Linked DNA regions of Rattus norvegicus. Each later gene encodes a partner of the first gene's protein in a complex. Links are inferred from orthologs where the notes say so. Each region holds a gene or a part of one and is shown on either strand. Other genes may lie near its edges. The genes, in order: Uxt and Asdurf.

Evidence for each region.
Region 2: Uxt (region 1) and Asdurf share a complex: the UniProt entries of both Homo sapiens proteins name them as parts of the PAQosome complex. The link is inferred for Rattus norvegicus from reciprocal best matches to the Homo sapiens genes UXT and ASDURF.

Annotation. Positions count from the first base shown.
Region 1 is NC_086039.1:3,678,534-3,683,012, forward strand, and holds the start of Uxt (protein UXT), read left to right. Parts: upstream 1-1,370; 5' UTR 1,371-1,376; coding exon 1,377-1,474; exon of another isoform or gene 1,475-1,519; intron 1,520-3,116; coding exon 3,117-3,198; intron 3,199-3,335; coding exon 3,336-3,403; intron 3,404-3,672; coding exon 3,673-3,780; intron 3,781-4,479. UniProt on the Homo sapiens protein: Involved in gene transcription regulation. Acts in concert with the corepressor URI1 to regulate androgen receptor AR-mediated transcription. Together with URI1, associates with chromatin to the NKX3-1 promoter region.
Region 2 is NC_086027.1:55,617,448-55,621,884, forward strand, and holds the start of Asdurf (ASNSD1 upstream open reading frame protein), read left to right. Parts: upstream 1-1,351; 5' UTR 1,352-1,408; coding exon 1,409-1,498; intron 1,499-3,086; coding exon 3,087-3,140; intron 3,141-4,437.

The DNA.
Region 1 (4,479 bases):
ATTTTATAGCTCCCTAATACCTGTTTTAAGCACACCAAATTGAATTTTAAATATATGTAGCACGAAATTTTGGTTTTGGTTTTGGTTTGGGGGACAAGGTATCAAGCAGAAATTCATTTAAGATGATTTTCTTAAAATTTGTCTCTGTTTAAACATTTTTATGTGCCCTTTGGAGGGTGAAAACCAAACTATGTGTGTAATACACACACACACACACACAGAGAGAGAGAGAGAGAGAGAGAGAGAGAGAGAGAGAGAGAGAGAGAGAGAGAGCGCGAGCCACAAGATATCCTGCCTTCCTTATAGATTAGTACCATAATACTTGCTGGTCTATAGGCACTCTTGTGCTTTTTAAATTATTAAATGCTTAAGTGGTCTCAGTGAGGTTTTTGTTTGTTTGGTTTTGATTTGGTCTTTTGTTTTAAAGAGAATATGAAATTGGAAGGGGAATGTGGTAGGAAGGGTCTAGGACGAGTTGGAGGGAATAGGGAGTGGAGATAATGAAAATATATTGCATACATCTATGAAATTCTCAAAGACTAGAAATGTTTCTAAAAGAAAAAAGTAGGGACTATATGGATACCTCAGTAGTTAAGAGCATTGGCCATTCGATCCCAGCATCCACATGGTGCACACAAACTGCCAGTAGTTCCAATTCCAGGGAATCCCACAACTTCTTCTACCCTTTGTGGGCACTGCACACATGTGGTGCATAAACATGCAAACAAAACACATAAAATAGGAAGGAATTTAAGAGTGGGGAGGGAGGAATACAGAAATGGTTCATCAGTTAAGAACACACAACTCTTGCAGAGAATGTGAACTCCATTATCAGCACCCACATCACGGTAGCTCACAACTGCTCTCACACACACTTCAAAGAAATTATAAACACTTAACTCCCTCTCCCTACCTTCCTGTAAGTCCACCTTTCCTCAGAACCCGCCAAAACTCATTAAACGTCACCCAAACCAGTCTCCCGCCAGCTCGCGACTATTTATTTGCCTGCAGGCCAACAGCGTGACCCTGCTACCTCCAGGGACTCATTCAGGCCCCGCCTGCAGCTCTTCCCTTAAATGCGTCTTCTCGCACGAAGGGCAGCCCCGCCCCATCGATTATGGTTGGCTCTGGTGCTGGAAATGCGTCATCCATCCGCGCCAGCCGGAAGCCGCGGTTCGTTATAACAGTTATTGCTGGTGGCCCCTAGGTGAACGTCGCGGTTGCGTATCGGTGAGTGAACTAGTCCTAAAGTAGGGTTGGGCAGAAGGAACTCCATAGCACGAGTCGAAAGAAGTCGTGCACAATATGAGAACTTTGTGAAGTTAAACTGGAGCGCTCAACGTGGGTCCTCCCCCTTCAATCCCCAGGAGCACATAATGGCGACGCCCCCGAAACGGCGGGCCTTGGATACGGTGGGGGAGAAAGTGCTGCGGTATGAGGCCTTTATCAGTGACGTACTGCAGCGAGACTTGCAGTGAGTGGCAACGCGGGAGGCGTGACGTTTGAGAAATTCGACGTGGTGGGTGGGATTGAATGCGGCCAAACTTTCGGGTTGGCCAACCAGATTTCTGGGAAGAAGGTTGACTTCTGGGCTGAGATTTGGTTGGAACTTATCCCTTTAGCAGAGCTCCGACCATGTTTGTTGGTTTAAAATAGTCATTCCGAACCTAATGTGTTTCTAACTAAGCCATTTAATTAATATTTATGAACAAGTTGTACCTTACTTTGCCTCTCTAGGCTTTATGAACTTCGTTCATCTGTGAAATGGAAAAGTTTATTAGGCCTTTTTAACGTGGTGTTTGAGTTTTAAATGTGTCAACTCCAACACATTCTGCCACAGGAGGGAGAAGCAAGAGGATCTTTGTAAGCTGGAGACCAAACTGGGCTACAGACTGTCTCAAAGGGGGAAAAGTAGAATAAAGCCAGGCTCAGGCTCCATGGTGTGTGCCATCTCTAGTGGAGAGATGGGGAAATTCACGTTTTTAGCCAGGATTACAAGCCAGCCTTGAAATATATAACAATATTTTATTTAAAAAAAAAAAACTAGTGTGGTGACAGAGGCCTGCAATCCCTGTACTTGGGATGGTATCAGAAGCAGGATAATCCAGAGTTCAGGGTAACCTTCACTTACATTTCGAGGTTGTGTATGGCCTGGGCTCTGATATTATGTCTCAAAACAAGCAAATTAGGGCCAGCAAGATGGCTTGCCTCCAACACCATGCCCTAACGTAGATCTCTAGGAGCCACATGATGGAAGGAAAAAGATTCCCAAAAAGCTTCCAGGTGTATCATGGCACCTATACATGCACACAAAATAAACACATGTTTAATGCAGATAAACCCAACTACTATTATATTGAGGCTGAGAGGAGAGGATTGTTTGGTGTGATTACAAATTCAATACCAGCGTGAGAAACTCAGATATTGTCTCTGGAAATAACCTGGATAACTTTTATGAAAAAGGAATTTGCCTCCAGTGCCTGAAATACACTAAAAGCTCAACAACTAGATGATTACTATTGCTGTCATTACTAATCTGAATAAAAAGTTAGGTATTGAGAACTAGGGCTGTGTAATCATGCTAAAAGAAACGGGGAGGTATATTTAGGGTGAAGATGGGACATTTTAATTGGCATAAGTCACTGAGTAAAATGCAATATTTATCATTGTAATAGGTTCTAAGTATATAATGCTTACCATTTGGCTAGCATTTAAAACACTTTGTAGTAGACACTTGATTCTAATGACTCCTATATGCTAATACTACCATCTCTATTTTCTATGTGGGGAAACTTAATCCCAAACAGGTTTCCTACTTTCCATAGTCACATTACTAGCAAGAGGTAGAGGTCAGGATGAAGTACAGTCTCACCTATATTTATTGAAATGCCGGCTGTGTCCTTATCTATGCCCCATCATGAGTGTTTGGGGGAGCAGGCACAGGGTCTCACTATGTTACACAAGCTGGTCTTGAGCTCATAATCCTCCTGCCTCAGCCCATGGATTGCATCCATGAACAACCCCATCTGGCTTAAAATGCCTAGTAGGGCATGATGTGCTGCATCTCAAAAGGAGTAAGACTGCCTAATATTCACTGTTGTATTTCTACGTATCAGAAAGGTACTGGACCATCGAGACAAGGTATATGAGCAGCTGTCTGTATACCTTCAACTAAGAAATGTCATTGAGCGACTCCAGGTAAAGGCTTTTAAATTGGGTGCCACTTTGTGTATATGTACAAAGAAGGGAGGCGGGAAGAGAACCCCCAGAACAAAACCTTTATCTGCCTTAAAAGTTGGCCACTGACACCTACCTCTTTTCTCCTGGCCCTATAGGAAACTAATCACTCGGAGTTATATATGCAGGTGGATTTGGGCTGTAACTTCTTCGTTGACACAATGGTGTGAGTGTATTCTCTCCCCTCTAAATTTCTCCCTTTTTTCATGGAACAAGTATTTCTTAGTATTTTCTGTATACCAGGCTTTAGTAGCTTTTATATTACATTAAGATATAAGCAACATGTTGTGGTCGTGGGAGAAATGAACACAAAATATCTGCCCTTACAGAGCCTTCACTTGGGGAATAGGAAGGAATAGGAAACACCTTAAACTATATACAGTATGCTAAATGGTAATAAAGACTTCTTCCACTTCCTCCGACCTCTTTCCTCAGCCCAGATACTTCACGCATCTATGTGGCCCTGGGATACGGTTTTTTCCTGGAACTGACACTGGCCGAAGCTCTCAAGTTCATTGACCGAAAGAGTTCCCTCCTCACAGAGTGAGTTCATTCCAGGAGGATAGTATCTAAAGGCTAAGGGTGCAGGGAAGTGGTAAGAACATTTGCTTAGCATGTGTGAAGCCCTAGGTTCTATCCGTATCACACACCACACAAACACATACACAAAATATATAAAAGTCAGATACGGCAGTAGTTCATACCTGTAATCCTACGACTCTAGAAGATCAAGCAGGAGGATCCTGATTTTGAAGCCACTCTGGGTGATAAAACAAATCCCTCTATATAAAACAACAGAAAAAAATAATAAATAGACATCATAAATTTCAATACTCTACCCTTTTCCCCGTAGCTACCTGGGATGGTACTTTAAAAAAAAAAAACATACTACCTTCCTCTTCAGGGCTAGAGCTAAAAAAAATGAGGATGCAAAGTTCAGCCACGGAGTCATACTAAACACTTAATAAGTAGTTTTTGTACTATTCCTTCACACATTTATTGAGCATCTTGTGTATGCCAGGTTGTGTTGTTAGTATTGGGAATACAGCAGTAAACAAAACAGAAGATTCTTAGAGGCTTACATTCTAGAACTATGTTGTTATATGTACATATATCTAGGTCCACATCCATGAGATTTTAATCTAAGAATCAGTACCAGTCAAAGAAGCTGCTTCTCACTTAACTATCTGTTAATTTTTCGGCTCATTTGCCCTCTGAACTTAATATGCATGTACCCACACA
Region 2 (4,437 bases), on another chromosome or scaffold:
AGAAAATTGGAAGTAGTACTATCTTAGGACCCAGTTATACCACTCCTGGGCATATACCCAAAAGATGCTCTAACGTATAACAAGGACACATGCTCCACTATGTTCACAGTAGCCTTATTTATAATAGCCAGAAGCTGGAAAGAATCAAATAACCCTCAACAGAGGATGGATATAAAATGTGGTATATTTCTACAAAAATAATGACTTCATGAAATCCATAGGCAAATCGATGGAACTAGAAAATATCATCCCTAGTGAGGTAACCCAATCACAAAAAAAAAAACAAAAAACAAAAAAACAAAAAAAAAAAAACCACATGGTATGCACACTCACTGATAGTGGATATTAGCCAAAAATCTCGAATTACCCAAGATCCAATCCACAGACCACATGAAGCTTAAGAAGGACGACCAAACTGTGGATGCTTCAGTTCTTCTTAAAAGGGGGAGTAAAAATATTCATAGGAGGAGATATGGAGACAAAGCTTGGAACAGAGACTGAAGGAATTGCCATTCAGAACCTGCCCTACCTGAGGTTCCAGCCCATAAACATACAATATTTCTGATGCCCAGAAGTGCATGCTGACAGGAGCCTGATACAGCTGTCTCCTGAGAGGCTCAGTCAGAGCATTACAAATACACAGGCAAATGCTAGCAGCAAACCATTGAACTGAGAACGGGGTACCATTGGAGGAGTTAGAGAAAGGATTGAAGGAGGTGAAGGAGCTTGCAACCCCATAAGAACAACAATACCAACCAACCAGAGCTCCAGGGACTAAATCACCATCCAAAGACTATATACATGGACAAACCCATGGCTACAGCTGCATATGTAGCAGAGTATGGCCTTGTTGGGCACTAAGGGGAGGAAAAGTCCTTGGTCTTACCAAGGCTGGATCCTCATTGTTGGGGAATGTCAGGGTGGGGAGGTGGGAAGCGGTTGGTGGTTGGGGACGGGGAACACCTTCATAGAAGAAGGGGAAGTGGGGATGGGATACGGTGTTTATGAATGGGAAACCGGAAAGGGGAATAACATTTGAAATGTAAATAAAAATATCCAATTTAAAAAATTAAAAAAAAAAAGCCAAGACCACAGTGTTAGGCACACTACTGATTAGTGATTTATTTTTACATAGCATCCGCTAGGGGGCAACACAGACCATTCATAGACTCTCCAGCCAAGCCAGACGAACCTTTAGCCAAAACTAATGTGCGCTGATGCACAGCTACTTAAAGTCGGAGTTCCAGGATCTAGTATCCACGCCTGCTACTGAGCAGGCGTAAATATGCGCACTCCATTGGTCGAGGTTCCGGAAGGGGCAGGGTCCTGAAAGGAACACTGGCTTCCGGTTGGGCCTGCCGCCTGCTGTTTCATCCACCGCGGTTCCTCCGTTCGGTGCGGCGTGGCGATGCCTAGCGGTGCGGAGCACCCCGGAGACAGCGCCGCGCCGGGACCCACCCGCACATCGACCGCGCACGCCGAGGCCCTTAGCAGTAAGGTGCCGTGGGACGCCGAGGATGGGCGGTGGGCGGCGGGCGGCGGGAAACGGGTCCCGCGGTCGCATCGGTGCCCAGTAGCCTCACCGGTCCATTCTCAGCACCGGCCGCTGGTTTCCCCTGCGTCCTGCAGATTTGCTATGATGGAGGCACAGATTTATCCACTGCAAACAACAGTGATACTGAGACAGAGGTCTTAATGACGTTTTTCCTTTACGCGTTTGCACCACTCTCCTCTCGGAACCCTTCACACATGTGATCTGTTGCTCGTTGGCTGTGCTTCATCCATTTAGCCATGTACCCGCCTGGACGCCATCCATGACGTCCATCATGAAAGTTTAGAAATCTGCCCGTTCTTCCAGACTCAGGCAAAATTTTCTTAACCGAAGTTATCAGTTGCCTGTTGACCTTAAAATATATTCTCACCTTTAAGTGATCCTAAAAACATCAGTTTGGTCATCTCTTTATTATTCAACCAGGACTGTAGCAGATTAATTTTTTCCCTTCCTCTTTTTGGGATAGGGTTTCATAAGTAGCTCAGGCCAGCCTCAAATATTGTTTGAGGATCACCTTGAATTATTCTCTTGCCTAATAGTCAGGATTTCAGGGAGGCAACCCCATACCTGAACTGTACAGTGATCTCAACTTCCAGTTACAGACAAAAATCTTTAAACGTGTGGATTGGAGGGGGTGTGGGTGCAGCCTTTTCAGTTATTAAACATCCTGAATTCCATATTTTTTTTCTGTCCTGTATGACATCTTCAGTACATTGCCTTATTTCCAGTGTGCCACAGTATTCTGTGGTGTCACCTAAAGTGAGATATATTATATACCTGTCGTTTGTAGTGAGCATAAAAGCGCTGTACAAGCAGCCTTGAATCTCAGGGAGGGTGTACTCAATGTAGCTTTGTCGTATGTTAGTACAGCTCTTAGCACTGCCCATGCACACTCATTTGGGTGGGGATGAGTTTTCAGAATACTCTGGCTACTGCCATAGCAAGCCTCTTGGCACTGTGTAGCTGTGTCAGTGTAGACTTATTGCCTATTTGGGCATTTCATCTGATGATAAGGAACAAACTGAGCTTAAGGATACCAGCAGTATGCTGTCCTTAATACTCAAAATAGAATGATACAAGGGTGGGAGATGATGTTGTACCACTGCAGGAAGGGCGTTCGTTCAGTACCGTTCCGTTCATTTTATCCGAATGTCTGGCTGTCATCCAGTGCATACATCATAAAACCACTGGCTATTGGTAAAGAGGAGAAGCCACATTCATTTCTCTTTTTTAGTCTACAGCCAGGCCTTATAAAATTAAAAGATTGGTATTAATTTGGCTAGACAGTGTCTCACCCTGGTTAAAGATGTGAGCTGTGGTAACTGGCGCCTGGCAAGTCTAAGTCAGCTTCTTTCTCCAGCTGTCTTCTACTGGTTCCAGCCTGAGTGTGGTTGCATCTGTACAGTATCCATTTAGACAGGCAGTCCATGACAGGCCCCAGTCCCATGTTTTGTTTTAAAGCAGTTGCTAAAAATGTGCTCACTAAACATAGTTTGAAAACTTCCACTTTAGGTTTTTTTCTTTACTTTAATAGATTAAAGAACAGAAAGTTATTGTGGATGAACTTTCTAACCTGAAGAAGAATCGGGTAAGTTGCTGTGGGAATCTGAATAGTATATATATATATAATATTAAAATTATGATTTAGATTATTTATGCTAACATTGCAAAATTCAAACATCGTAATTTAAAAACTAAAGTGATATCCTCATTTGGTTTTGCATGTTTTAAATTTGTTCTTCCTGTATAAGTCAGTAGATCTCAAAGATGAAAAAATTATATTTTAACAAAAAAGAATGAAGTTTTCCATAGAAAACTTTAATATTCCAAATACTTAACCCATTTCATGGCTTTTAAATAAATGTGTTAATAAATCAGCTACAATTAACTAATAATCGACATTTCTGATATTGTCATTTGTGAAATATTAGATGCTAGGGCAAATTAATACAGAAATTTTTGGAGATCAAACTGGCAAAATGAGTAAATGCTGTATGACACTTCAGAGTAACCGGTGTGGAAGCAGTTGTGAGGATGAATGCGTGTTTACCTGCAAAGGTACTTGCCAGCATCTGTAGTGAAGAGTTGACAGAACAGTAAATGACTGAGCTTGAAGGCAGTAAAGAACTATACATTGTACCAATGTGGTGATATAAAAGAACCTTCCTTGGTCAGAAAAGATCTCCATGTATTATTCGTTTATGAACTAAATTATAAACCTGTTGCTGTGATAGCCTTTGTTATTTGAAAGACTATGGTGTGATGACACATGTGAAGCAAACAACCGTCTCTGGGTGGCATAGTGATCAGTGACTTTGTTTATCTGTGGTAATCACTCTTCTGAATATTCCTGAAGTTCAAGAGTGGGTGATAAGAGGATCCTGTTCAACATCACTGTGCAAGTCGCATTCTTCTTTTTTATTAGCATGTCATGGGTACTGCGGCCTGAAGCATGGACTTTCAGTGCAAGGACATGATTGTCATGACCCTGGGACACCACTCATGGGTGGCTAGGAATATTGGTGCTGTATGATGGAGTGAATGGACTGTGACATAGTAGGTGCTCTCATAGCACAACACAGGAGAAAGCAGAATACAGACTTCATTGCCAATGATTAAGAACCACTGTCAGTTCTGTAACCAATGCTAAGGGAGCCTTGGGAGCCTTTTCCTCTTGCAATTGAGGCAGAGCTTTCGTTCATTTCTTGAGAGCTTTGACTGCTCAGGACTATAGCCAAGCAGTACCTTATCACAGTGCGTGCTTGCTTGCTGGCTTTCTTCCTTTCTTTTATTGGATATTTCTTTATTTACATTTCAAATGTTAATTCCCTTTCTCAGTTTCCTGTACATAAGCCTCCTATCTCCTCCCCATCCACCCCCCCCAC